7 linked regions of the Mus musculus genome follow. The protein of the gene in region 1 binds, or shares a complex with, the protein of each later gene. Links are inferred from orthologs where the notes say so. Each region holds a gene or a part of one and is shown in the gene's direction. Other genes may lie near its edges. The genes, in order: Snrpf, Ppih, Lsm3, Eftud2, Srrm1, Prpf8 and Snrpd2.

Region 1 (4,144 bases):
AAGGAGAAAAATACTAACATGAATCTGTCTGAGTCTAATTCCCAGTATTTCATCACCTACAGTATTAAATTAGAAGTTGGACTAGGTATCCCCAGGATTGTGAGTTTAAGATTTATAAATTTGTCAATGCTGACTGAATAAGTAGAGCATATTTGAGTGTCAGGAACAGTAATTATTCTTCCATTACCATGGGAAAAAAATCCGAGCTAAGATTTCGGTCTGATCAAAATGTATCTGAGATTAGCAGCATCATTTTTAAAATTTTCTTTATCATGTTTTGTCTGCATGTGCGCATGTGCACCGCGGGAGGGCCTGGCACCCACAGAAGTCAAAAGAGAGAGATGGGTCCCCGGCACATGAAACTTTGGATGGTTGTGAGTCACCACCATGTGGGGATGGGATTCGAACCCAGGTCTTTTCACGTGCGAAAAGCGCTCTTCTCCATTGAGCCAACACCCCCAGAATGTGTTGGCATACTTTAATAATATAAACGACAGTCTTTAGGCTTAGGCCTGGGCCAATCTCGAATCTCGAGTTATTTGGGGAATCCATGCCAAAAAAACAAAACAAACAAACAAACAAAAAACCGTTCAGGTTCATATAGGGTTAGATCTCCCGAAAAAGAAAAAAGTACTCTTTTTACACGGGTTTCATATCACAGGTGAAGCGATACTGAAATGTTGAGATTATGGGGAAATTAAACGGGGTTCTGATCGATAACTTTCCATCAGAGCGATTAACCTGTGGTAGCGTCAATAATTCCCCACATCCTATTCACAAACACACGTAAACGGACCTCCTTTGGCCTCTGGTTCTGGGAATGCTTAGACATCAGAACGACAAGAGGCCACCACATTATCCGAGACTTAACTTGACCTGGTTTCAACTGTTGTAAAGCCCCACTTGAGTGCTTTTCACTAGCACTCACGTAGTCTTGCTACCCCAGCTTCCTTTAAAAACCCGCAAGTGGACGGACATTCTGTAATAAAGAACAGTCCCATAAAAGGGGGGCCGTGCCAGAGGTGTTCCCCAAGTGCTGGATCTATGGGAGGATGACCTCCAGAACCCGATCTCGTTCTTTCAGCTGAAGGACAGACTAAACCTTCTTTAGCTAAAGAAACCAAGTCCGTTCGCCAGGGCACTTAGCTTCCCCTTGTCCCGAAGCAAAGACATTGGGGTCGCTCAATCGTTCCCACTTCGAACTTGAGCAGTGGACACAAACACACGCTTACCTGGTTGCTAGGAAACAGTACCGCCATCCCCTCCAATCAGTAAACACGTCTTTGGTGGCCAATCACAGAAGCCGAGACAACGCGGCGTGAGGTGAAAGGTCAGGCCGCTTTTGTCGGCCATTTCTCTTAGCGCGGGTCGCTTGGTTGTAGCGGCAGCCGCTCCGGTCACGAGGGGCGGGCAGCGGCGGAGTCGGCGGCTAGCGGGGTGCAGCGCTCGCCGGTGGTCGCGATGGTAAGGACGATGAGCGCCGCGGGGGCTGGAGGACGGGCGGCCTCGCGGGGCCCGCCGCCCCCTGCGCCTCCCATTCATCCCCACGAGGCGCCGCGCGGCTGGCCGCTCGCTCCTGCTCCCGACGTCGGAGGCCTTGGCGGCGCGCGCGCGGAAGCCCTTCCCCTCCCCGAGATCCCCAGCCACCTTTCCGCGTGTTGTTTGTCCCGGAGCCTGAGGTGTAGCCTAGTTTGGGCTCACAGGGTAGGGGTAAACCGAAGCGAGTTTTCCATTTCTACCTAGCACGCTCCGCAGTGCGCCATTTATTCCTTGCTGTTGACAATTTTAGCAGATTGTCCTCTGGCGCAGAAAACCCCGGCTACCCTTCCACTCATTTAATACTGATCTTAGGCGCCAGGAAGATGGGGTGGTAAGGTAGACTCTGCGTTTTCTTAGGAGTGGGAGGTAGGCAGCCGTCAAATAATAACAACAAAATAAGCAATTACAAGTAGCGGTGATTGTTAAGCAGGGAGCTGATAGGATGCTCTGAGAGGTGCACTGCCTAGTTATAACGCAGTGGAGGAGCGCTCTTCTCCAGAAGGTGTCAAATAACCAGACATCCAGGTCACAGAGCAGGTGGAAGAGTATTTCTTGCGCGAGTTCCAAGTAGAAAGTAGGTTTGACCAGTTGGAATTGACAAGAATTGACCGCTGCTTGCAAGAATGATGGTTTTAAAATACAGCCTGGGACCTTAACGCCTCCTAGGAAATATGAGGCTCTGTCAAGTGCAGTTAGAGACCATTGGAGCATTCTTTTAAGTCACAATAGTACATGACTTGATAAGTGGTTTGTGGATGATAAATTATAGGCAGCGTAAATTGGCTACTCATTTAGACCCTGTGCTCTCCAAGATTCTTTGGGATGGTGTGTGAGTGGAATGGAGTATGGGGGTGGTTATGAATTTAAAGGGAATAATACTTCTTGATTTAGCATTAAGAGGCCCTCTCACTGACGATATTGAGCTTTTTTTTTTTTTTTAATGTCTGCAGAGACCACCCTGTACCTTTATTTTGATTCCTTTAGAGCTTGGATAATGTAGGTATTTGGGGCTTTTGTCCATTCGGCAGTGCTCAAAATGGAACTAGTGACCTAAGTATCCTAGGGCAGTGCCCTGTCATTGTGTTACACACTTGCCCCACTCCCATCTGTCATTCGACATTTAATTGCATAATTCATATTTTCGTTTCTGTCAGTGGACTATGAAGTTGGCTAAATGGGTACTTAAATTTCTCTCAGACACCCTCCAGCAAATTATAAAGTGATGGTGGATCGGAGTTTACCCTGTGTCATAAAGTCTTGACTGGTGTCTCAGTAGAGAGTGGGTGGTGGAAGCTGAGGTAAGCAAAAATTATTGAGTGCTGCCTTTGGTTTTTATACAGAGTCTACCCCTCAACCCCAAGCCCTTTCTCAATGGGCTGACAGGGAAGCCAGTGATGGTGAAACTTAAGTGGGGCATGGAGTACAAGGGCTACCTGGTCTCCGTGGATGGCTACATGAACATGCAGGTATGCTGAGGAGGAGGAGCATGGGTGAGGAGCAGGAAACCAGGTTTCTACTGTGTCACCTTACTCCTCAAAGGTTTACTGAGACTGGTGGGAATGCGCACAGATTGACAATAGAAAGTGGAGTCGAGATTAAAGTATGAACCAGGGAGGAGGTTGAACCATGATGTTCTTAGGAGTACTTACACCAGAACACAGAGCTTTGACATTTGGTCTCTAAAGCAGAAGGGAAAACTAGTTTATTACAGAAAACAATGATTCAGCCTGTCTTTTTCTAAGACGTGTCTGTATAGGCGATTAGCACTATGATGCAGTGGCATTAGTACTCAAATGGAACTCTGTACCCATTAAATAGTTCTGTTACCACCTGTAATCCACCTGTAATCCAGCCCTATGATTAAGAGTGGGACTGTCTCTCATGTAAGTGGAATGTATTATAAATTCAGCTAACTTCAGATCAAAAATTCTTAAGAGAAATTATATCTTATGTTCGAGGTACACAGTCCTTTTGCTTTCTCCACTGTACTAGGCTATGATCAGTCTAGAAATTAGAAGGACATTAGGTTCTATGCAGATGCTCAGCTATTTGAAACAAGGAGCTCCAACACCCTTGGTCCTAGAGGCCCTGGAACAAAGCCCCATAAATGCCCTGGGGTAGGCTTTTTGTCCTTTTGTCTGGTTTGATTATAGCTTCAGGATTCATTGATAGAAGTTACTGCTTTTCAGGACTGAATAATATCCCGTTATATAGCTATAACGCATTTTTACAGTCTATTATGTTTGTTTGGTTTTTTTAAAACATTATTTTATGTGAGTACACTGTCACTTTCTTAAGACACACCAGAAGAGGGAATTGGATTCCATTACAAATAGTTGTGAGCTACCGTGTGGTTGCTGGGAATTGAACACAGGGTCTCTGGAAGAACAGTCACTCTTAACTGCTGAGCCATCTCTCCAGCCCCATCTGTCCAGTTTCTTGTAGGGATCAAGCCCAGACCTCTGTACATGCTGACCAGCAGTCTGCCACTAAGCTACATTCTCAACCTGTTCATTCATTTTGATTTCTAGTTTTTAATTTTATTTTATGGATGTCTTGTCAGTGTACTATGTATATGCCTGCTGCCCATCAAAGTCAGACAAGG
Region 2 (4,162 bases), on another chromosome or scaffold:
TGAGTTCGAGGACAGCCTGGTCTACAGAGTGAGTTCCAGGACAGCCAGGGCAATACAGAGAAACCCTGTCTCAAAAAACCAAAAGCAAAAACAAAACAAAACAAAAACCAAAAAACCTTAAAGGGTGTAACAACCAGGGCTGGAGAGATGGCTCAGTGGGTAAGAGCACTGACTGCTCTTCCGAAGGTCCTGAGATCAAATCCCAGCAACCACGCCCTCTTCTGGGGTGTCTGAAGACAAGTATAGTGTACTTACATATAAGTATCTTTGGGCCGGAGCAAGCATGAGAGAAGGAAAAGAGGGGGGGGGGGTAGCAACTGAATGCCCTCCAAAACAGAGGCAGAAGGGTACTTGGTAAAAGTGGTATAAGAGAAGCCAGCCTTTACTTCCTGGTCTTTGCTACCAGCAGTGGCAAACAGCATTTTAAATAGGCAAAGCCCCATACGATTTACTAGCCTAGAGACCCATCCCATGGGCAAACAACAATCCCTGAGACTGTTGTGCTTGCAGACAGGAACCTCGCATGGCTGTCCTGAGAGACTCCACCCAGGAGCTGACTCAGGGATGCAGAGACCACAGCCAAACATCCGATGGAGCTTGAGGACTCCTGAGGGCCTCCGAGGGGATTGGAACTCCACAGGAAAACCAAGAGTCAACTATGACCCTTGGGGCTCTCAGAGACTGAACCACCAACCAAAGAGCATAGACAGGCGGGACCTAGCCCCCTCCCACACACACACGGTCTTTCATGTGGGTCCCGAACAACTGGAGTAGGGGCTATCCCAAAAGCTGTTGCCCTGCTGTGGAATTCGTTTCTTCTGCTTGTCTGGACTCAGTGGGAGAGGATGAGGCCAGCCCTGCAGAGACTTGATGTGCTAAGGTGGAGGGAAAACCAGAGGGGGTCTCTACCCTCTCAGAGGAGAAGAGAAGGAGGGGGTGGGGAAACCGGGAGAGGCGGCAGCACTGGGGATGTAAATGTGAATTAAAAAATAAAAAATTTTACAATCATAAGAAAATAAATAAAATTACATTTCCAGCACCCGACTGAGCCAGGCTACAGTAACAAACCATTTTAAAATATGGAAGGTGACTCAGGGATCCTCGGCTCATGAGCTGTGACAGGGGACACCAAGTGTGACTGCTCAGGACATGCTGTCTGCAGAAGATTCATTTCTATTGCACTAATACAGTCATGCAAGTGGGGAGCCCACAGACTTTGACAAAGATGCCTGCGTTTCCTCCCCTCAGCTCCGACCAGCTCAGCCAAACAGTACCATTCCCAACAACCTCAGCGCGCGCCACACTTCCGGGGCGGGGCGCAATCGCGGTCCGTTTCCACTGCGTCTGCGCTCCGGATGAAGTTCGCGGGACCTGCCACCGGAAGCCGGGTTTCTACTTCCGGGTCAAAGCCATGGCGGTGGCAAATTCAAGTCCAGTCAATCCAGTGGTCTTCTTCGATGTCAGCATTGGCGGCCAGGTGAGGTGCGGGCGACCTAGCGGCCCGTGCGGGCTGGTTGGCCTCGGGTAAGGGAGGCAGCCCCTTATAGCCCTCCCGAGACCGGCTGGGCCAGGCGGCGGAGGGAGGTGGGAGCTTTCGAGCTTCGTGGACAGCGGTCGTGAGCTGAGTGTTGCGTCTCCCGTTTCTTCTGCAGGAAGTTGGTCGCATGAAAATCGAGCTCTTTGCAGACGTGGTGCCTAAGACGGCAGAGAACTTTAGGTAAGGATATGCTCCAAGTGAACCAGAGCTGAGCCCGAAGCCGGCCTCCAGTCGGTCTTTGCCATGTCTGCCTCTGTCCATCTATTCATTGCCTTGCAGCTCTGTGGTCTGGGTATTTCACTGGCCAAACAGCTACCGGCTGTGACTGATCCCATATCAACTTCTATCACTAGTCTACCTGCCCTGACATCCGCCCGATCAGTTAGTTGGCGGACATACTGGCCCCAGTGTTTGAACTCTCCTCTCCAGAGATTAGAGGTGCTTCAAGCAGTGATCGTACGAAGGCTAAATCGTTTGCTCTCTCTTTCCCTTTAGGCAATTCTGCACCGGAGAGTTCAGGTCAGTCTCAGATGTGTTTGATTTCTCTGCCTACTCCTGAAGGGGTGCCCTGGATGTTTGGTGAGGGTATTGGAGAACCATGAACAGGTCTTAAGTAATGGAAGATGATATGCAGAGAGAGGGTGACACCTTGAATGGGTTCTTTCTCTCTCTTTTTCCCCCTCCAGATCTTAGTGAGAGCCCTTTTAGCCTCTGGTGTAGCCTAAATGGGAAAGGCCCACCATTGTGTTTCCCCATTCCAAGTCTCTTCCTTCTTTGTTTACAGAAAAGATGGCGTTCCGATAGGATACAAAGGAAGCACCTTCCACAGGTAAGGGAGGTTTTTGGAAAACTGGAAATGCAGTCATTGCTTGGTATCTGTACAGGCAGTCCTGCACACCTGAGTTCAAACTCTGTGAGGCTTACGGCTGTTGTTTTAAATGGCATGTTCGCGGCTGAGGCTGTAGCTCGGTGGTAGAGAATTGGCCCAGCATTCATAAGGCCCTGGATTTGGTACTGAACACCATGAAGCCTATGCACAGCGCCTTAAGTCATCCCTGACTTGGTGGAATGCTGTATTGCAGAAACGATGCCAAGGAAAGCATGCTGTACCCTTTCAGTACCTGTTCAGTACAGGTGCGTGGCCACGTGCTCCCAGAGGTCTAAGCTCAGATCCTTAGGCTGCCACAGCAAGCACTTCACCCACTGACCCATCTCCCTGGCGCCAGTCAGGACTTCAGCAGAGGCTTTGCTAGTTACCGTTGCTAGGCAGTCATCTGTAGGAGCCTGGCTTTCATGATATATTTACTTATTTTTTGTTAGAGTTTGACAGAAGTTGCTCTATTCTAATCCTGAAAATGTCCATGTCTCCCACATAAGGGCTTTAAAGCTACAGTCTGTAACCCTCCCTAGCATTCTTGTGAAGTAGTATGTGTTTTCCGAGTTCTTCAAGGAAGGCTAAGCAAAGCGAAGGGCCATAGCTGGTGTACTAGCTAACACCATCAAGTCTCTGTGTGTGCAGTAGTCCATTCACCTAGATTTGCTGTTGTTCTTTTCCCCCAAATTGCAATAAGCCCTGGACATGATTTTTTCCTTTGGTGACTGTTGGTGATTCTAGCCTGGTTTCAGCCCCTTCCTGATGTTCAGGTGCGAACTCACGCATCTAAGATCAACTGAGTTAAGACTGTACTTGCTCGCCCTTTTCTAAGCTTCAGTGATTAATCCACTGAATCTTTTCTCAGGATTTTTTTTTTAACTGTTTCAGGGTCATAAAGGATTTCATGATTCAGGGTGGAGATTTTGTTAATGTAAGTACTGCTTCTTTTCTTTGTTATTTTTTTCTGGCAGGGCCCTAGTCTTGAGACTTAAGAGCAATAGCTAAGTTAAGTGGAGAGGGCATGGGATGTACTGTAGAGTTGCTGGCTACCACTGACTGTGTCCTTAGAACACATAACAATACTCTACTGAACCATAAACTTCCACTTTCCAAACCCTAGCTGTTTGTAACTAGAAACTGGGCTTTGCTGGCATACCTATAGGTGATCTGAGACGGTCCACATTCATTGTTCACAGAAAACTTTGAAATTGACTGCAATTTTTCCCTCAAAAGGAAGGGAGCTGACTGCTTTTGTCTCCCATTTTTCCTTCCACATCTGCACATCTTCTGTCACTGTCTAAAAACTCTAGTTTTTTGTTGGATTGCTCTGGGGGGGGTTAGGGGCCGGTCTTTCTTTCTCTTTTCCTTTTGAAAGCTAAGGTATTAATCACAAGCTGGTTAGCAAGCAAGGGATCAGATCAGGAGAGACAGGAAGTTTAAAGGGTGTTCGCTTGCTTGCTGAGGTAGCCCAGCAGATCCATTCTTCACAAAAAGACCATGACTGTTGGTGTCTCCATCCTTCCTTGGAGTGTGTCCAATAAGCTAGAATATCTCTTTCTTAAACCAGCTCTTTCCTTACCCATCCACCTCTGTGCATGCTGTCTCCTTGCTGTTAGCATTGTTTATGTGGGTGTGTTACTAAGTCCTTTTGTCTGAGAGATGGTCTTACTCCATCAGTTGTAAATTTAGTTAGATTTTTGTGAGTCTTTAGAGGTCTTCCTCCTACACAGGGTTGCAATGGCAGGCTTTAG
Region 3 (4,086 bases), on another chromosome or scaffold:
AACTGAGGAAGGCATTCAGCTTCAACCTCTGGCATCCACACACATGTAAACATGTAGTACACATGTACACCACACACATACCCATGTCCACAAAAATGGGTCAAATTTTGCTGCACCTGTTTTGTTGTGAGCATCGAATGACAGTGTCCTTGCTTGAGAACCATGGTCCTATCACACAGCAAGTGACAGGACTTTATGCTGCTTAGTATCTCAAAAGAAGTCTGACAGAATTTGCTGTTTTTTCATAATAAACTATTGTGACTGGTGGGACCGCCTTGGGTAACAAGTGAAGGCGATGCTTAAGTGTTCTTGGGTTGCATTGAGTGGACTCACTTTTTATCATAAGCAGTATTGTCACTGGGAATGGCTTGTAAAGACATGATAGGCTAGCACAGAGGGTGTTTGTTATTTGCATGTAAAATTTTGGGTGTAAGTATTGAACCTGTTACTTAAAATCCACTTGTATCTTTTGAGCCATGTTACTTGTTTCTCATATCTCACCCTCCCACTTCAGGCTTATGATCAACATTTAAATATGATCCTGGGAGATGTAGAAGAAACTGTGACAACGATAGAGATTGATGAGGAGACATATGAAGAGATATATAAAGTGAGTCCTGCAAGTCTTTGCTTTGACAATGTCAGTTCTCAACATGCAACAGCTTAACACATATTTGTGGAAAGCCCATTATGTTCTGGCACCTACTTAGGAACGGTTAATAGATTGTATAACTAAAATGCAAGTGTTTTTGGAGTCACACAACCTGTTTTTAACACTGATCTTAAAGACAGCTGTATCACTAAAGCCTGCCCCAACATGGGTGACAGCTCACAAAGCTGGAACCTGGCACACACTGCACAGCCTAGAGGCAGCTCAAGAGTTTGACAGTGCCCTTTCCTGTCAGCTGAATTGGTCTGAGCCTTTGCCTCATGAGTGCTGGGATTAAAAGCTTGTGCCACCACACCAAGCCCACAAATGCAATAGTTTCTTTTCTTTTTAAATTTAAAATTTATGTGTCTGGATGTCTGTGTATGTCTGTGTACCATGTGCATGCCTGGTGTCCAAGGAGGCCAGAGGAGGTCATCAGATTCCTTGCAATTAGAGTTATAAACAGTCACGAGCCACCCTGTGAATGCTGGGAATTGAACCTGGGTTCTCAGGAAGAGTGGCCGATGCTCTTAACTGCTGAGCATCTCTTCATGGTCTCTACGAATGTGTCATGTGCCTTGACTACACACAGAGGCAGGACAGACTGGTGCTGTAGGTAGTATCTACAGTCCTTATCATGCAGCACTGTGGAGAACACGACATTGCTGCCTTATATCGCTCGTTACCTTTGAGATGGGAAACCAGACAGCAGCTTCCCCTTGGCCCGTTGTATGTTTTGCCCTCTCTCAGCTGACATAACTAATGAACAGGAACATTTCCAAAATAGGAAGGGGCCTACAGACCACTAGGATTCCCAGAGTTTTCCCCTCACGGTGTTTATGATTAACTCCTGAGTGACTGGATTGAGACCAACTAGCTAATAGGAAGACAGAAAGTGGTTGGCCCTGTTCTTTTGGTTCTCGGTCCACCACAGTTAGAGTATTGCTCTTGTTGATTGCTAAAGTGTTTTGGCTCTAGCCCACTTTTCCTGCTGTCCATCATGTTCATCCCCTTCCTTCACCATATAGCCCACAGTGTGGTTAACTGACAGGTTGCTCTTGGTGATGGCCTCTTTGTAGCAGAACCATCTTGACCTCATCCTAAAGCACCAGTCCTCACATAATTACAGACCTTTTGGAAACCAAGGAGACAGCGTCTCTCTCAGACCACCCTGATTAACCCTACCCTTCAGCAGCTGCATGGTCTTTGCCTGAGGACAGAGTGGTTTTAACTGAAAAGCTTATTCATCACAGCTTCTTTTGTACTTACATAGTTGGGCTTAAAAGCATCTGGCTTTGTTTCTTTTTGTCTTCCTGATAACTAGCCAGTTCTTGCCTGATCTCATTTTTGTACTGCCCTGTTGAATGTATCTGTCACACCAGAGCACTTACAAACATCTGGCTTTTTCCAGCCTTCGTCTCCACAGTCTATAGGCTCAGGAGGTTTTTGGCTCCAGGTTCTGCTAACATTTTACCAAGGCTTAGTGATGACTCCAGATGCACCATGTTTGCTGACTGCCCAAAGCCTGACCACTGAGCTAAAGCCTTGGAAATTGTGTTCCCCATTCGCACCCCCAGGAGTACAGAGAAGCAGGTGTGATGACTGGGCTCACTGGAGGCTGAGGCCTGGCCTACAGTCAGCATAGTGCTAAGTTGGGGACATTAAACTTCTACCCTCCTGTTCCTTGAGATCTCAGTGTACAGGGTCCATCCATTGGTAAACAGTGACTACCCATTGACACTCAAAGGAAGTCACTCTTGAAATCCATGGCTAAAATTCCGCCATAGCTGAGGATGTAACTCAGTAGTAACGCATTCGCTCAGAATGTGAAAGAATTCAATCCCCAGCACCCTCTCCCCCAGTCAGTTCAAAACCAGGCATAGTGGCAAACTCCTGCAGTCCCAGCACCTAGGCTGGAGAGGCGGCTCGGAGGCCAAGAGCACTTGCTGCTGCTTTTCTCCTTTTAATATGTGTTTTGGGACAGTCTTTACTTATAACACAGGCAGTTTTGAAATGTGCCATGTAGCTGAGTTGTACTTGAATTCATGGAGACCTGCCTGCCTTAGCCTTCTCCGTGCTAGCATTACAGTCATGAGCCATAATGTCTGACTTGTTTTTATTTTACATTTATCTAATTTTTATATGTATGTGTGCATCTGAGTTCATGTGTATCATGTACATACAAGAACCCAAGTGCCAGAAAAGTCACACACACACACACACACACACACACACACACACACACACACACACACAGTGAAAATAAATCTTAATAATAATCCAGCACTTGTGGTTGAGGTGTGAGAGGTATAGGAATTAGGAATTTCAGACTAACATGGGCTACACAGCAAGACGGACCCCATCTCAAAAAAATAACACAAAACCATCTACCTTGTGTCCGGGTCTGGTCACAAAGAAGCCTGGAAAGTGCACTCTAGCAGTGCACAGCGAGAGAAGAGTGGGTCTCGGTGCGCAGTGGTCCCTGCTGCGGTCACCCAGGAAACAGGCACTCAGACTGCTTACCCTGATCCTGCCTTTCCCTTTTGTTCTCCTCCAGTCCACAAAACGAAACATCCCTATGCTCTTCGTCCGGGGAGATGGCGTCGTTCTAGTCGCCCCTCCATTGAGAGTTGGCTGAGACAAAAGATGGATCCTGTGTAGGAAAGTGGAGACTTTGCCTCTTGAGATGTACAGGACACTCCCAGAGAGAGACGCTCACACGAATCCTGATAGTCAGAAATGACCCCAGGATCACTCTACCCTCGAAGAAGTTCATTTGCAAGCAACTCACAAGCTCTCCAGCTAAATGACCTGTCCCTTTCTCCAGCCCTCCAGTCAGTGTGACCGTCTTGCTCTTTTCAGGAGTTGGTTTGCCCATTGTTCTTGCAGTTACTTTCAGGTTGTTTTTCTTTAAATTAAATTTGATGTTTCCTTTTTTATTACTTTTTTTTTTAATGTGTCTTGTGGATTCTCAAGTTTTTACCTGGTGTGTTCAGTGTGTCTCCCATGTCTAGGGCATCGTGTTGGGTGTGAGGAAGGAGAGTGGCCAGTCTGCCCTGCCCTTATCTGAGGGAGTGCTGTTCTAGCAATTCTGGGGTGGGAGGCCATTGCAAATATCCTTACCTGTCTTAGGGGCCCCAAAAGCTCAGGTAGCACCCAGTAAGAACTAGACAAGGGAGGCACGTGACCCCAGCTGTCAACCTACTGGGTAAATGCAAAACATGACTTGTGTGACTCTGAAGAAACTGTCTTCCAGTCCTGGCTCATAGGCCGCCAGTGACAAGGACATGGGGAGTCTGAGCAGGAAGCAGTGAAAGCAAAGCTACTTCCATTCCGGCTTCAGCCAGCCTACGCTTCACATAGAATCACAAGAACACAGGGCCAACACTTGGTGGTTACCCTGTTGTGAAATAGAGAAAATAGAGCAAGGGCTGTGG
Region 4 (4,276 bases), on another chromosome or scaffold:
AAAGCAATCTGATACTTAACCTGGAGTGTTATAAAAATCTAGTTTCTTCCTTTACAGGTAAAATGGAATTGCGTGATGAAAATGTATTCCAGGCTTCTCACTGAGAACAAAACAGAAAGGTTTCCCGTTTGAAGTCTTGACTTTGCTCTCTGCTTCTAACAATATTTTAGACACTAAGGGCTGGATCAGCGGTAGGATTTTGCCTTGTGAATGCAAATGCCTTGGGTTTGATCCCCAGCAAAACACAAAACCACAACACACACACACACCTATTAATTCAGGTGTTTCATCTGAGGAGGCAATTTGGAGTTCAGATTTCTGACTCTTCATTCTTTCACATAGGATTTCTCTATATCAGTTTATTACCATAAAGGAACAGAGCGGGGGAGGGGGGGAGAGGGGAGGACAGACACAGATACAGAGAGAGACAGAGAGGTTTCTTTTATTATCTACTCCAGCTCAAGGACAAAATTTCACACTTCACTAAATGTCTTTAATGAAGAAAAAAAAATCACCTCAACCAAAAGCAATGACAAAGCAGGAAGTTGAGAAGTGTCAGAAGGAGAAAACTCAGTAGCCTCCATCCCCAAATCCCTGAGCAGCACAGAGCGGCAGGCAAATGTGTGCTGTGTGGGCATTATCTCCAGTCCTACCACTGAAGTCCTGCCGCCTCCCGGTATGTGTCTGATGGGGCTGTTTTCATAGGAAGCTATGTGTTCCGGTCTGGCTTCTGACATTTACTTATGATACCTCTTTCCACCTCAGAATCCTGGTGAGCTGGAGCCATAGTTCACTCATGATCAGCCCTAGGGCAGGAAATGAGCTGGTCCGCAAGCAAATCCACAGCCATCCCAACCATGATGGGAAATGGAACGCCGAGAAGTGGGCTGTGTTACTCAGCCAACAATTGTACTCAAGAGTCTCATACCCTAAGCAATATTTTGGGGGGTGAGGAGATCTCGCTGTGCCTAGTTTGCTCTCTCCAAAACTTCTGAGCTCATCATGATCTAGGCTCAGCCTCTAAGCAATAGAGACGATAGACTCTCGCTACCCGACCCATTTCTCTGTCGAGTTCTAAGCCTTCTCCAATTATAGAATGACTAGAGCAATCCCCTTTACTGTCCCTAAACCCTCACCCAGTCTTGGACTCCCTGCTTTCTCTCGAGAAACCCCGGATCTGGTAGAACACCTTAGTGCATCGCCCTCGCAACAGAGATTGTTGCCTAGCAACGGCGCCACCAGTCTGCCCACGTGACCGGCCCGAAGGCCCTCCTTTCAGGCTGTCCTAAGGCGCCTGATCAGAATCCTCCGGCCTTGCTTTTTTTGTGGAGAAGTCCACGCTTCGTTTTGAGGACCAACAAGTTGGCCTTTCCCATTTCTGTCTCCGGGGCCAGAATTTCTCGAAGCTGTTCCTTAGGCAGAGCTGTCCTCCGAGGCGAGGCGGTCCGGCGACGCGCTCGGGGTCCTTCCTAGCGCCGGGCGCCGGCGTTGTCGCGGCGTGCGGCGGAAGCGCGGGCTCAGGCGGCGGACCGGGGCACTCGGCTGAGCATTCGGCGGGTGAGCTGGCCGGGAAGGGTCCTTTCGGGGCTTGGGGAACGAGCGAAACATGAGCTTGGGAAGAGGCGATTTATATAGTACTTATCCCTTTCGCTTAACGAACGCGTAAATTGAATTCTGGCGTGGGAAAGAGAATGAAAGACCCCAACGCACGCACACACCGTCGATTCCGGGGTTTCCGCGGTCCCCAACGTGGTTAAGATCCTGTCCCTTAGTAGAGGTGGCGCTGTAAAGACCCAGGCCCCTGCCACTCCCCCTTCCATCGGTGCCTGCTTCACCGCCAGACTGTCTCCATCTTCAAACTATTCTGCATCCGAGCTGACTGTGATGGCGAGTGCCTAATTTTTGCGCTCTGGAGATGCAGACAGAAATATTGGTGCAGGTTCAAGGCTAAGTAGCGGGTCTGGTTCAAAAAGCCAAAACCAGAAAAGATTCCAGCATTCCTTTGAGATTCTGCGTTGCAGTGGGAAGATGCAGTTTTGGTTATTTAGAGTAGCTTTACTTAAACTAAGCATATCACTAATTCACTCCCCTACCCAAAGCCACCCTCGAAAAACAAAACTAGCAAAACGTATTGAGGGCCTATTTTGTCCCAGGCACTGTTGTCGTTTTGCTCCTATTTTATTATTAACATTTATCAGTAGCGGGCACACACACATGTTCCCTAAGTACTACTCAGGCATAACCTTGACTTTACTTAGGCGAGGGGTGTAACTCGGTGGAGAAGTGTTTAGTAGAGTGTGAGGCCCAGGATTCGATCTTAAGCACCCAGCCACACACTAAGAGATTAGTGTAAGGGTGGCCTGGCAAGTATATGTGGAGTGACAAATAGGTGACATTAAAGGAAAAGGGTGAGTTAAATGAATTAAGAAGGTATACATAGCCAGAGGACAATGGGAATGACAATTATCCTGGGGGCAGAGATGAGTTTGGCTTGTTCAGTAAACAACCTTCTTTAAAAATTTGTGATGGTAATCTTGGGAGAAGACAATGAACATAATTGTGGTTGCCTCTTAGAAATAAAAACAGTAGGTATACTGTAAGAAATACCAGAATTTCAGAACAAAACATTCCACTCCCTTAGCTTTACTGAGTGTCTTTTTGTGCAAGGTGCTGTCAGGGGCATTGGTGCGTGAACACAAAGGAGCATGGGGATTCACGTGCTCAAGAAGGTCAAGTTTTGTTATGACCAACATTTGTTACTTGTTGCTTTTTGAGACAGGGTCTCTCAGGATGTATGTAGGATCATGGGTATAAGATCCTATGCTTGGATAATCACACTGTGTGTGTTTCTGTGTGTGTGTGTGTGTTTCTGTGTAGTAAGTGAGGATCAGATGTGCTGTGGCTTGCAGGTGGAGGTCAGAGGACAGCTTCAGGGTTTGGTCCTATCTCCTCCTTACTGCCAATACCAGGCTAGCTGGCTCTGAGCTTCAGAGAATCTCTGCCTCCCATTTCCTGTTGGCCGTCTAGGATCACAGACACTCACACTACCCTATGTAGCTTTTCAGTGGGTTTCCAGGACTGAACTCAGGTTATCAGGCTGCACAGCTAGGTACTTACTCATTGCCTTTATAAGGTTTTAGGCAATAATAAATCACTCTAAGGAGGTAAACTAACTTCTGTGAGTTACGTCATCCTTAGAAATGAGGCCAAGATAGGATGGATCGAGGTCTTTAACCCCAGGGGCCTGATGCTTTTTCCCCTGCTCTGGTTTGTGTTGCTCGCAAACCGTAGAATTGTTTTTTAGAATAACAACAGTTGCCTAGCATTTGGGACAGAAGATACTGACGAGAGTGAGAGGCTGAGGGGCTGGGAAGGCTGGTAGGGTGAGATCTAAACTGTTCTTTTGAACAGAATATTCAGTCGTTGAAGTGGGGGGAAATCTGCTGATGTTGCAGACAATTGTAAGGTAGCGTGTGGTTGATGAGATTCGAACCTGGGTCCTTTAAAAGAGCAGTGAGAACAATGAGTTCTTACCCATCACTAAGGGACAAGCATGTCCGCTGTCACCATAATTAAGGGTCAAAGTTAGAATCATCAGTGAGGACAAGTTGGAATCGTGTACCTCTCAGAGCAGAGGCAAAGCCACACGAAGGGAGATTCTTCAAAAGCCTTGGTTTGTAATCTGGAAAAGTGTCACGTGAAAGTCAAGTACGATCCTAGTTTGTGTCCTTAGCAGTGTCGTTTGTGACTGGAACAGTTTCTCAAACTTGGTGGAGCCTGTGGATTAGGTAGTATAACCTGCTGGTATTCATTTTTATTTTGATGATTGCATTGTGATATTTTGAGAATACTATTTTTTTTTTTTTAAGTGAGATGCTGGAAAGAGAGTTTAGCATTTCAGAGTACCTGCTAGGCAACCATGAAGACTTGGAGTTAGATCCTACCTAGAACTCACATGACAATCCTCATGTTCCTAAATGATCCAATGCATAAAATTACACACACACACACACACACACACACACACAGTTTAATTGATTAAATAAATACAGAAAGGGAATAGGTGGACTAGGCATTACTTGTACACCTGTTATGTGGGGGGGGGGGGCAGAGGCAGAGGATCTTGAGTTGAAGGCCAGGTTGGGATAACAGTGAGAACCTATTTTAAATGTAAAAATAAAGCCAGATGGGACTGGAAAGATGTCTCAGTGGTTACGACCACTGACTGCTCTTTCAAAGGACCCAGGTTCAACTCTCATCATCCACATGTTAGCTT
Region 5 (4,100 bases), on another chromosome or scaffold:
CTTGGCTGTCCTGGAACTCACTCTGTAGACCAGACTGGCCTTGAACTCACAGAGATACCTAGGGTTTTCAACAGCATCGTTCAGCATCCGGGCCTCCTTCAGAATGGATGCTGGGTGGCAAGGTCAGGAACAGGGCTATCTGTGACAGAACTAGTGCAGGAGTTCAACTCAGATAAGGGACCTTGGGCCTCCATCATAGTGGCATGTGTGTTTCCTGAGGGCTTGGGAGTGGGGTGTGCAGGAAAGAGGACTCTCAACAGCAAGATTGTCCTAAACAAAAGGAAAGCTACTGCCATCTACAGAGACAGAGAAGGCTCAAAGACAGCCTCTCTGATTTCCCTGCTATTTCGATTCATTTGATGATTTTGATGGACGAGACGAACCTAGTCATATCTGGTCTGTGGGCGTTCAAATGGGAAAGTCAACCCCCTTTAAGTAGGAAAGCCAGGAAAAGAAAAAAAAAAAAAATGCCTGGAGACATTCGGGTTTCTACACTAGCACTCCTAGGGCAGACATGCCCACTTCCCGACTTTTCCATGAAAAAGCATTAGAGGTGCGCGTGTCTGTGAAAGATGGAATGTTACAAAGTGGCCCCAGAGAAACTTTTCTGGAGAGAAAGCGCTTGGTGAGCACATTAAAGGGCCGGTTTTGGCCCTCTTCCACTTCCTGCCCTTCGGCGTGGTTTCGCAGCAGAAGCACAGAAAGGTATCCAATGGACACCTCAAGAACAAGCCAGATGCGACGCACATCCGGCGAACACGCGGGCTTCATACGAGCTGACGCTGCAGGCTCAACCCCGCCGGCAACCTCCCAAAACCCACTCCTAGCTCAACTTTCACAATGACAACAACTGGCGTATCGGGCCGCCCCTAAGCAAGCATTCTCTTTTATGACTACCCATGCACCCCAGGACTGAGGCTTCCCCCCCGCCCCCCATCTCCCTTCAACTCCCCACATCCTCCCACTACGGATCAAAGGAAGGATCAACTCAAGTCGCGCGAACACCGCTGATCATGCGCCACAAAAAAAAAAAAAAAAAAAAGATCGGTAGGGTTGGGCGACCCAAAGATTCTCCCTCCTCTTTCCATTGGTTCCAGTCGCCCAGCTCGCCTCCCCTCCTAGCGAAAGGCTGCCGCCCTGGTGCGCTTGCGCATGCGCGTCGTTCTCGTGGCGCACTGAGCAGGCGCAGCCGCAGGCCCGCCGGAGCGGGGCGGGTGTAGCGGCGCGCGCAGCCTCCCGGCGCTGGGCTCCCTTCTGCCGGTCCCGCCCTCCGTCGCGGCGGCGCGGTGCACGCTGGGATAGGGAGCGATCTCCGAGCGAGGCGGCAAGATGGACGCGGGATTCTTCCGCGTAAGTCCGAGCGCGGGGATCCGGGGAGAGGCGAGAGGCTTGTTTGTAAGACCCGAGGGGGAGGCGCTCAAAATCCCGGACAGGACGGCCCGCGGAGGAAGGCCTTAGAGACCCCGAGGGGGTTCGTGGGCAGCGTCCCCCGGCCTCGGCGTTGCGGCCGAGACCGGTGCGCCCCTGCGCAGTCTCCTCCTCCGGGATCGTCCCCCCCTACGCGGCGGTGGCGGTGGCCGGAAAATGGCGGCGGGAATGGGCTGGAGCCGAACCTCACCGGCCGCCTGGCGAGGCCCTGTAGGCCGGGCGCCGCGCCGGCCGCCCGGGCTCGGGGCCTAGCGGAGCCTCAAGGAGGAAGTCTTTAGGGGGAGGCCGGTGGGAAGCCCGGGGCGGCTGCGGGGTACCGGTTGTATGGTTTGGGGCTCCGTCCTGAGAGGTGTTTGAGGAAAGGGGCCTTATTATTTTTTTTTTTTAGTGGCAGCTTTGGAGAAAATGGGTGCCCCCCCCCCAAACCCCGACGTACAGCGTCCACCCTCTGGGTCTTAAGCTTTCCCGGCGGCGCAGGGTCAGAGTTCGTGAGCGCTCCCGCCCAATTTGATAGCTCTTCGGGGAGGGGAGCTTAGATAATTTGTAGTTGGAACATTTGAATCGGAGGCTTTTGGAGTGAACGGTGTGTGCGAGGGTGGAGACAGATTACGGTTGTGACTCCGTCGCGCTTCCCGCTCTTCGCTAGCACCCTTTCCCAGCGGCCCATGTCCAGGCAGGGGACGTTACCTTGGAGGTGGTACATAGATCCCACACAGTAAGGCAGTTTATTAGGTCCACTTTGGAAGGAAAGTAGCTACAGGTCGAGATCTAGATGTATGGGAACGTACACTTGTGGGATTAAAAGTAGCAACAAACCCTTTAGGAATCGCTGATTCTTGTAATGCAGAGTAGAACCTTGTAAGACAGCTTGGTAAAAATCCAGATACCAGCTCTCTGTCATACCACTGCTTAGAGTTTTGCATTCTCTGAATCAAGCATATAGTTTACAGTTTGTGTGCATTTTTAAAGAAAAAATTGGAAGGCGGGGGAAGGAGGAGGGAGATAATAAAGGTGCTTCTTGTATGTGGTTCATGAGAGCTTGCCTAGTATGAACAAGACACTGGGGTCTATCTCCAGCACCTCAGATACTTGCACTACAAACTAGGCACTTAACCTTTGTAGTCAGTACTCATTTCTTATGGCACCGAAGTTAACACTTAAAAACAGTCGAAGGTTTCTTTCACTTGTCAATTGTCTCTTTTTCTCCCCCCACCCCCTTCAGTTTTTGTTTTGCCTTTTCAGGAAGTGGTTTATGTGTGTAGCCTTGGCCATCCTGGAACTCTGTAGTCTGTAGGCCAGGCTAGCCTTGAACTCAGAGATCTGTGTGCCTCTGCCTCCCGAATGCTGGGGTTGAATGAAGACTTGCACCCTGGCCAGGCTTGTCAGTTATTTCTAGTGGAAAGGAGATTGAAGAACTAAAACAAAGCGATATGTCAATTTTCAGGCGAAGATGTCCTTTGAAAAGGACAGGATCTGGAAAATAACCCACTTTTTAAAATATTCTTTTTACACTTACTTAAATGAAGTAGTTTTGTTTTCCCTGGGTTGGGTCTTTTGGGGGCAGGGGCAGTTGAAGTGTTTTGAAACTGGGTTCTCTAACCCAAACTGGCCTTGGACCTAGAGAGTCCTGCCTTGACTTCTCAGTACTAGAATTTCAGACATATGCTACACACTGACAAAGTGGGGGATTTATGTTCTGAGTTAGAAAAACTTACTAGGCAGTGGCGCACACCTTAAATCGCAACACTCTGGGAGGGAGGGGAGGCAGAGGCAGGCAGATCTCTGAGTTTGAGGCCAGCCTGGTCTACAGAGTGAGGCTACATAGAACCCTGTCTCAAAAAAATTTAAAAAGGGGAGAATGGGGGTGGGGAGGTAATTTTAGATCAGTTACCTAGTACAACCTGATTCTGAGTAGAATTCGATTTAAGAATTGGTGATAGTAAGCCGGGCGTGGTGGTGCATGAAAAACCAAAAAAAAAAAAAAAAGAATTGGTGATAGCATTCTCTCTCTCTCTCTCTCTCTCTCTCTCTCTCTCTCTCTCTCTCTCTCTCTCTCTTTCTCTCTCTCTCTTTCTTTCTTTCTTTCTTTCTTTCTTTCTGAAGAGGTGGTTGATAAGATCAAAAGCAGACCAGGACAGCTTTTGAACTTTTTTTTTTAATATTTATTTTATGTATATGAGTACATTGTAGCTGTACAGATGGTTGTGAGCCTTCGTGTGGTTGTTGGGAATTGAATTTTAGGACCTCACTCACTCGGGCCCAAAGATTTATTTATTATTATTAATAAGTACACTGTTGCTGTGTTCAGACACAGCAGAAGAGGGCGTCAGATCTCATTGCGGGTGATTGTGGGCCACCATGTGGTTGCTGGGATTTGAACTCAGGACCTCTTACCAGCCTGGCTTTGAATTTTATTTTATTTTATTTGAAACAGGGTTTCTCTATGTAGCCCTTGGCTGTCTTGGAACTCACTCGGTAGACCAGGCTGGCCTCAAACTCAGAAATTAGCCTGCCTCTGCCTCCCAAGTGCTGGGATTAAAGGCATGCGCCACCACTCCTGGCTGGCTTTGAACTCTTTAGAGATGGCCTATCTCTAAAGGTATATGCCACCACTCTTGGCCCAAAACTTTTTTTCTTTTTCTTTAAAACCTTTTTGGTTTTGCAGTACTAGG
Region 6 (3,085 bases), on another chromosome or scaffold:
AACCTGGCTGTCTCTCTTGGTAGAGGGCAAAGGGACATGATAAAAAAATACCAATTTCTCTACTGAGAAACAATATTTCTGGGTAGATCTTTGCAAGTTTGAAGCCAGCCTCTTTTTTTTTTTTTTTTTTTTTTGGTTTTTCGAGACAGGGTTTCTCTGTATAGCCCTGGCTGTCTTGGAACTCACTTTGTAGACCAGGCTGGCCTCGAACTCAGAAATCAGCCTGCCTCTGCCTCCTGAGTCTGGGATTAAAGGCGTGCGCCACCACGCCGGGCTGAAGCCATCCTCTTTTATATATTGAGTTCTAAGCCATCCAGGACCGCATAGTGAGATCATGTCTCTAAAAATTAAATATCGGGGGGGGGGGGGCGAGACACGACACCTACAGAAGCCAGGAGCATCAGATCTGGAACTAGAGTTACAGGCAGTTGTAAGCTGCCTGGTGTGGATGTTGGGTACCACATCCTCACGTCTTCTGTAAGGGCATGATCTTAATCTGATGCCAGTAGCTCTGGCGCCTGTCTTACTTCACTGTTTCTGAACAACTATAATTCATCATTAAACATGTAGGCATCTTTTTCTGATTACTAAGTTTAGCATCCATGTTCGTCGTTATAGAAACAGTTTATTTCAAGATTTTTTTTTTTCTAGATAATTGAGGAAGGTAGACTCAGTTTGTTTTGTTCCTTTTTGGTTATTAGTTGGCCAAGTGGAAGACTGCTGAGGAAGTGGCTGCCCTGATCCGATCTCTGCCTGTGGAGGAACAGCCTAAACAGATCATTGTCACTCGGAAGGGCATGCTGGATCCTCTGGAGGTGAGAGGTGGACACAGTAGAAGGAGGTAGGCCCACGCCCTCTGGGCTGTGTCTCTGACCTCGGGCTTTCCTTTAGGTCCACTTACTGGATTTCCCCAATATTGTGATCAAAGGATCGGAGCTCCAGCTGCCCTTCCAGGCTTGTCTCAAGGTGGAGAAGTTTGGGGATCTCATCCTTAAAGCCACCGAGCCCCAGATGGTCCTTTTCAACCTCTATGATGACTGGCTCAAGACTATCTCCTCCTACACGGTAATTAGATGCTTAGGAAGAGGGCCTCTCTGGGGTGAATGTGGAGTCAGGAGAGGAGCCTGTGTGCCTCAGGGTTCTCCAGAAGCCACTTGATGAGGTCAGTTTAAAATCTGAACCTATGTATACAAAGAGCAGGAACTCTTGCAGAGGGGTTGGCACCTTAAGCAACTGGGGACAGTGAGGCTGTGAGGCTAGGGTAAAGGAGGAGAGAGCCTCACAAAACTGATGTCATGCTTTGCACGTCTTTTCCCAGGCTTTCTCCCGTCTCATTCTGATTCTGCGGGCTTTGCATGTGAACAATGATAGAGCAAAGGTGATCCTGAAGCCAGACAAGACTACTGTTACGGAACCCCACCACATCTGGCCCACGCTGACTGACGAGGAATGGATCAAGGTGGAGGTACAGCTCAAGGATCTGATCTTGGCTGACTACGGCAAGAAAAACAAGTGAGTAGGGGCCAGGTGTCCCAGTGCAGCGAGGGGAAGCCTGGCTCAGGACATAGGCTCTGGAGTTTGGAAACATTTAGGCTTATCAGTTTCTCAGATATTTTACCTGTGTTTGGTAATGCATGCCTATAATCCCAGCACTCGGGAGGCAGAGGCAGGTGGATTTCTGAGTTCGAGGCCAGCCTGGTCTACAAAGTGAGTTCCAGGACATCCAGGGCTACACAGAGAAACCCTGTCTTGAAAAACCAAAAAAAAAAAAAAAAAAAGAAAAAAAAGAAAAAGAAAAATAACATCTTGGAAACTTAGGAAGAAACACAGATCTCAGTGAAGGCATTGAAGCCATTTTGAACAGATTCACTCTCTTTTTTTGTTCCTTCTGTCTACATTTCTCTTGTGTTTTGAGACAGGATTTCATTCTGTATCCCAGGCTGGCCTTAAAGCTTCCAACAACCCTCTTAACCTTGTAGCTGCTGAAATATCAGTATGTCTCACTACACCCAATTTGGGGTTTCCGTTTTTGAGAGTTGTCCTGTGTCAGGACAGTTTCTGTGGGAAAAGCTACAGCGGTGAAGTAGCTTAAGGTCGTGTGCATTAGTGTGGTGCTGCTTGGCTGTAGGGAGTCTCCACAGTGTGACAGCGTCTTCAGGTCCAGGGGTACAGGTGCTTGCTATCAGGAGTTCAATCTCTAGAACCCACAGGAGGAGGAGAAACCTTCTCTAACTTTGACCTCTGCATTTGCAATGTGATACATGGCTTCCTCCTCCAGAGCAGATACATTTAAAAATTAAAAAGAAATGTTACCGGCTGGAGAGCCATCTGTAACGAGATCTGACTCCCTCTTCTGGAGTGTCTGAAGACAGCTACAGTGTACTTATATAAATAAAATAAATAAATCTTTAAACAACAAAAAAAGAAATCTTACTTGAGGATTATCTTGGCAGAGTATACCCACTGTCTCCCCAAGTCTACTTTGTCATCAGGACAAAAGGGACTTGTGGGAAGGAAGAGCTCCTTCTCTTTTAACTCTCAGTGTCCCCACAGCGTGAATGTGGCGTCACTGACACAGTCAGAAATTCGAGACATCATCCTGGGAATGGAGATCTCGGCGCCATCGCAGCAGCGGCAGCAGATAGCTGAGATTGAAAAGCAGACCAAGGAACAGTCCCAGCTCACTGCTACACAGACTCGAACTGTCAACAAGCACGGTGACGAGATTATCACTTCAACCACTAGCAACTATGAGACCCAGACCTTCTCATCAAAGACTGAATGGAGAGTCAGGTACCGTGGAGGCATGAAGGTGGGATGGGCAGGCCTGTTGATGTTGCTGCATGGGCTTGCGCTGAGATGCTGGCATTCCCTGTCTGTCCTTTAGGGCCATCTCTGCTGCCAACCTGCATCTGCGGACCAATCATATTTATGTTTCATCTGATGACATTAAGGAGACTGGTTATACGTACATTCTTCCGAAAAACGTGCTTAAGAAGTTCATCTGCATATCTGATCTTCGTGCCCAAGTGAGTAGCTATGGCACACACCTGGACCACAGTGTGAGCCCACTTAGTCTGCGTCT
Region 7 (4,208 bases), on another chromosome or scaffold:
ACGCAGGAAAGTTCCCCAGAGACGCTGCGGATCCAGCTGCCCTACCACCAGCCGCAGCTTGGCTTCTGAAAGGCTTCCGATCAGCGGGACCTTGGTTGGGAAATGGGATGGGAAAAAGAAAAATGAAAACAACCCCATTCCCACCTTATCCTGGGCGCCGTTGCCTACTAGGAGTCCTGGCTCTTCCTGGTAATGCAAATCTCCAGCATCAAAGATTTCCTAGACTGGGAGAAATCTTCAAAGCAAATCTGGTCCAGCCTACCGCAGTCCTAACGAGGAAATTGCAATCGGGTGATGGAAATTTCTAAATAGATGGCTTGGGCATAGAACTCAGTTCTACCAGTGTTGCTATGAGGACTCGTCATCTTCAGTGGGGTCTATCACAAAACAAGCCTGAAGCCTTATTTTGTTGGGTAGGGGCACGCGCTCAAGTCATGGATAAATGGCACAGGCGGCAAAAGCCAAATGATAAGACCACGGTAACCTGAGACTCAATACGAAGGGAAAGAGGGAAATGACGCTGGCTGGGCACCAGCCAGGGCTCACCCGCAGATCCCGGCTCCGTGACATCTCCTCAACCCCAGGGTGCCAGCTGTTCCAGACGATATAGAAAGCCAAGCCCATAGCCAGCGCCAGCAGCAGCAGGGGCAGGAACTGCACTCGCGGCAGAAGACGGCGCTTGGAAAGTGAGGGTGGTTTCATGAGGCCACGATCCTCGAGCCGCTGCCGGGGCCGCCCGCGGCTCCCGGGACTCATGGTAGCTTTGCTCTGAAACCAATCCCGGTATGGTGGTTTGAGTTTTAGGCCAAGATCCGCCTCGCTGAGGTTACAAAACCCAATAAAGAAGCAGAGTAACTGCGTCCTTCCCTGAGACGATTGCGATTGGCTGTCCTAAGCGCCGCCCCACCCAAAAAGGAGGGCGGAAACCTTAAGGCCCGCCTCCACGGAAGAGGACCAGTCAATGGGCTGCGTCCGAATGTGCGAAACCTTCCAAGGCGCGGGGTCACGCCCCTCACGGAAGTCGATCAAGAAACTGTCGTTCAAGGAAAAAAGGGGCGGCATCCATCCCTAAAACAAGGAGCCGATTGGTTTACCTGAAGCCATGCCCTCAAGAAAAGTGTCCGAGGGTATTTGGAAATGGGGTTGTGTTTTCCATCTTCCAACTGGACGGTTTGACGGGAAAATAATTCTAGTCAGACCCCGTATTATTTTCCTCATGAGCAGACACCCTATTGTGATCCTCAGAAGCTTCAAATCCTCCTTATAGGCATTTTCTACAGGAGAGTGCAGCCTGAAGGGTCGCTATGGTAACAGGCCACGCCCACAGCCGCTGGTATTTGGTTGCGCAGGCGCCGACGGAAGTGAGCCGCAGGAGACGGAAGTCCCGCCCTTCTCGCCCTGTACGCCAAAGGCTGGAGCAACGCGCTTGGAGGCGGGAGTGATCTGCGAGCGAAACCTACACCATGTGAGGCCGGGCTGGGCTTTGGCGGGGCCGTGGAGATGGAGGTGGACAGTTTAGCTGAATAACGGTCGAAATGGGGTGTTTTTATAGCTGAGGGTAGAGTTCCTCGGGCAAAAGTAATGTTTTTCCTTCTGGGGTATTTGAGATCGGGCTTGGGGCCTCGCTCGGATCTTGAGTTCCGGAGAGGGGACAGCTTTATTCCATAACGGGCATGAGACTCTCCGAGGTCCTGAGTCTTGTGGAAAGGAACCATAAAGGGAAAGCTGAGTCTGATGGCACATGCCTGGAATCCCAGGCCTCGAGAGGCTGATGCAGGAGGTTCGCTAGTTGGCCTTGGCCAGCTTCATAGCGAGACCGCTTCCAAAAGTAATAGTAATTTTAAATGGAAGTGGTCTTATGAATAAAGAGCTTGGCGGGGAAGGAAGAACTGTTAGAAATAGTGAAAAGTATGGGACGTAACCAGGATAAATTAGAGAACCTAACTAGAGACTGTCAGAGTAGCAGGGTACTACAGTGGTTTGGTGCGTGTTTATTCATTGAGCATATACTATGTAGACTGCTTGTAAGTTAAGACACATGGTAAATAAAAGGTCCTTGCCTCCAAGGGGGTGGGGGAATCTCCCTGGTGCTTGTAAAAAGAGTGGAGTAGGAAAGCCATAGAGTAATAAATAGGTACATACACCTTAGATAATCAGGTTTGGATGGAGAATTGAGCAGGAAAGATATAATGCCAGTAGGTAGCACAGTAGGATGCATTGAAAGCCCAGTTCTTGGGATGCAGATTTAGCTCAGTGGACAGAGTACTTACCTACTGTGGGTACTGGGTTTGGTCCTTAACCACACACAAACTAGACATAGTGGCACGTGCCTGTACTCCCAATACTCAGGAGGCAGAGACAAGTCTGAGTTCTGGGGCAGCCAGGCTTCTACAGTGAGATGTTGTGGGGTGGGGCGGAGGTTCATGGAGAGAGATGATTGAAGTTTAGGTTGCGGATAGAAAGGGCCAAGGTTTGGATGTACCATGGTGGCAGATGACAAGATATAAGGATAGAGTAAGGTTTGAAAGAAGAATCAACTGCCAGGCATGATGGTGAGCCTCTGTCATCTCAGACCTTAGGCAGTGGAGTCAGGAGAATTGAGAATTCAAGGTCAGCGGTGGGTGGAAGAGGTTAGGTAGATGAGCCGGGGCAGGCTACCATGGAAATGTCTCTCCTGCCTCCAGAAAAGACTGCACCAGAAAGGGGGCTGGGGAGACACTGGACAGTGTGGCTTTGATCACGTACATTTCCAACTTGAACCCATCTCACCCCTGGGTTCTCTATCCAGGAGTCTCCTCAATAAACCCAAGAGTGAGATGACCCCAGAGGAGCTGCAGAAGCGGGAGGAGGAGGAATTCAACACAGGTCCCCTCTCAGTGCTCACGCAGTCGGTCAAGAACAACACGCAAGTGCTCATTAACTGTCGCAACAACAAGAAGCTGCTGGGCCGGGTGAAGGCCTTTGACAGGTGAGTGCTGTCTTGGGGAGGGCTGGGTCTGGGTCCGAGGGGCCTGAAGGAAAGGTCATTCCAGAAGGATAATAAGGTGGGCACACACGGTGACAAAGCACCTTTAATCTCAGCACTCGGGGAATCACTATGAGTTGGAGGCCAGCCAGTGTCTCATGGCACGACCTAGCTCAAAAATGTAGAAAGTGGCGATGCTTAACCTTTTTATAATACATATCTTACGTGTTTAGGTGTTTTGTCTGCATATGAGTCTGTATGCTATGGACATGTCTAGTAGTTATCAGAATCCCCTGGCAGGAAATTGGACTGGAATTTCGATATTTGATTTGTTTATCTGTAGACCAGACATCAGTGTCAAATATCTTGTATTGCTTTGTAGTTTGTTTTGAGACAGGGTCTTTACTATGTAGCTCGAACTGGCTACAGATGTGGCAGAGGCTAACCTTACACTTCTAATCCTCCTGCTCCCATCTCCCGAGCGCTGGGATTACAGGATTGCATGAAGCATGCCGTCCTGCTTTATTGTTTTAGTTAGCATGGGACTTGCCTTGTGACTTAGCCATACACATCTGGCACTGTACTTTGCTCTTATTCACTGTCCTCAAGCAAGCATTTGTGGAAAGAACTGATCCAAGTGTGAACAATGGCCACCCGGCCCCATGAGGACAGGACTGTGCAGCACTGGAGTGCGCGTGTTGGGAGCCGTGTCTAACCCCAGCACCCTAAGACCCTCTGGAGGGAGCAAGTGCTTCTCTCCTGCTGTTTCTCTCAGAGTTAGAGTTAACGCCAGAGCCAGGGCCATTTTGGTGGGCTTTACTCTGCTGGGTCCTGAGTTCTTTATTCATCCAATCTTCACACCAGCCCTATGAAATAGACTGTCTCCATTTCATGAAGGGGGAAACTGAGGCACAGAAGGGACACTATAAAGTGAAATCACTTTGCAGCCTGCCCATCCCCACTGTGGAGCCTGGGCTTTCCTTATGCCTGCTGCTGGAGAGTTCACACAGTGCCAGGCAAAGGTGGGCACTCGGAATGCCCCCCCTTACTCCAGCTTCCCCCCCCACCCCTACCCCATCAGGCACTGCAACATGGTGCTGGAAAATGTGAAGGAGATGTGGACTGAGGTTCCCAAGAGCGGCAAGGGCAAGAAGAAATCCAAGCCTGTCAACAAGGACCGCTACATCTCCAAGATGTTCCTGCGCGGGGACTCGGTCATCGTGGTGCTGCGGAACCCACTCAT

The links.
Region 2: Snrpf (region 1) and Ppih share a complex: the UniProt entries of both Homo sapiens proteins name them as parts of the U4/U6-U5 tri-snRNP complex. The link is inferred for Mus musculus from reciprocal best matches to the Homo sapiens genes SNRPF and PPIH.
Region 3: Snrpf (region 1) and Lsm3 share a complex: the UniProt entries of both Homo sapiens proteins name them as parts of the U4/U6-U5 tri-snRNP complex. The link is inferred for Mus musculus from reciprocal best matches to the Homo sapiens genes SNRPF and LSM3.
Region 4: Snrpf (region 1) and Eftud2 share a complex: the UniProt entries of both Homo sapiens proteins name them as parts of the minor spliceosome. The link is inferred for Mus musculus from reciprocal best matches to the Homo sapiens genes SNRPF and EFTUD2.
Region 5: Snrpf (region 1) and Srrm1 share a complex: the UniProt entries of both Homo sapiens proteins name them as parts of the minor spliceosome. The link is inferred for Mus musculus from reciprocal best matches to the Homo sapiens genes SNRPF and SRRM1.
Region 6: Snrpf (region 1) and Prpf8 share a complex: the UniProt entries of both Homo sapiens proteins name them as parts of the U4/U6-U5 tri-snRNP complex. The link is inferred for Mus musculus from reciprocal best matches to the Homo sapiens genes SNRPF and PRPF8.
Region 7: Snrpf (region 1) and Snrpd2 share a complex: the UniProt entries of both Homo sapiens proteins name them as parts of the SMN-Sm complex. The link is inferred for Mus musculus from reciprocal best matches to the Homo sapiens genes SNRPF and SNRPD2.

The regions. Positions count from the first base shown.
Region 1 is NC_000076.6:93,586,859-93,591,002, reverse strand, and holds the start of Snrpf (small nuclear ribonucleoprotein F), read left to right. Parts: upstream 1-1,344; 5' UTR 1,345-1,461; coding exon 1,462-1,464; exon of another isoform or gene 1,465-1,590; intron 1,591-2,879; coding exon 2,880-3,005; intron 3,006-4,144. UniProt on the Homo sapiens protein: Plays a role in pre-mRNA splicing as a core component of the spliceosomal U1, U2, U4 and U5 small nuclear ribonucleoproteins (snRNPs), the building blocks of the spliceosome.
Region 2 is NC_000070.6:119,317,724-119,321,885, reverse strand, and holds the start of Ppih (peptidyl-prolyl cis-trans isomerase H), read left to right. Parts: upstream 1-1,362; 5' UTR 1,363-1,411; coding exon 1,412-1,477; intron 1,478-1,652; coding exon 1,653-1,717; intron 1,718-2,032; coding exon 2,033-2,056; intron 2,057-2,321; coding exon 2,322-2,366; intron 2,367-3,299; coding exon 3,300-3,342; intron 3,343-4,162. UniProt on the Homo sapiens protein: PPIase that catalyzes the cis-trans isomerization of proline imidic peptide bonds in oligopeptides and may therefore assist protein folding. Participates in pre-mRNA splicing.
Region 3 is NC_000072.6:91,519,035-91,523,120, forward strand, and holds the end of Lsm3 (U6 snRNA-associated Sm-like protein LSm3), read left to right. Parts: intron 1-514; coding exon 515-610; intron 611-3,206; coding exon 3,207-3,287; 3' UTR 3,288-3,586; downstream 3,587-4,086. UniProt on the Homo sapiens protein: Plays a role in pre-mRNA splicing as component of the U4/U6-U5 tri-snRNP complex that is involved in spliceosome assembly, and as component of the precatalytic spliceosome (spliceosome B complex).
Region 4 is NC_000077.6:102,878,176-102,882,451, reverse strand, and holds the start of Eftud2 (116 kDa U5 small nuclear ribonucleoprotein component), read left to right. Parts: upstream 1-1,476; 5' UTR 1,477-1,557; intron 1,558-4,276. UniProt on the Homo sapiens protein: Required for pre-mRNA splicing as component of the spliceosome, including pre-catalytic, catalytic and post-catalytic spliceosomal complexes. Component of the U5 snRNP and the U4/U6-U5 tri-snRNP complex, a building block of the spliceosome.
Region 5 is NC_000070.6:135,350,347-135,354,446, reverse strand, and holds the start of Srrm1 (serine/arginine repetitive matrix protein 1), read left to right. Parts: upstream 1-1,300; 5' UTR 1,301-1,329; coding exon 1,330-1,350; intron 1,351-4,100. UniProt on the Homo sapiens protein: Part of pre- and post-splicing multiprotein mRNP complexes. As a component of the minor spliceosome, involved in the splicing of U12-type introns in pre-mRNAs. Involved in numerous pre-mRNA processing events.
Region 6 is NC_000077.6:75,503,777-75,506,861, forward strand, and holds part of Prpf8 (pre-mRNA-processing-splicing factor 8), read left to right. Parts: intron 1-701; coding exon 702-815; intron 816-891; coding exon 892-1,065; intron 1,066-1,318; coding exon 1,319-1,512; intron 1,513-2,553; coding exon 2,554-2,793; intron 2,794-2,887; coding exon 2,888-3,029; intron 3,030-3,085. UniProt on the Homo sapiens protein: Plays a role in pre-mRNA splicing as core component of precatalytic, catalytic and postcatalytic spliceosomal complexes, both of the predominant U2-type spliceosome and the minor U12-type spliceosome.
Region 7 is NC_000073.6:19,148,430-19,152,637, forward strand, and holds the start of Snrpd2 (small nuclear ribonucleoprotein Sm D2), read left to right. Parts: upstream 1-1,408; 5' UTR 1,409-1,463; coding exon 1,464-1,465; intron 1,466-2,788; coding exon 2,789-2,968; intron 2,969-4,046; coding exon 4,047-4,208. Other genes in the region: Qpctl (glutaminyl-peptide cyclotransferase-like protein), read right to left, coding at 1-90, 547-756. UniProt on the Homo sapiens protein: Plays a role in pre-mRNA splicing as a core component of the spliceosomal U1, U2, U4 and U5 small nuclear ribonucleoproteins (snRNPs), the building blocks of the spliceosome.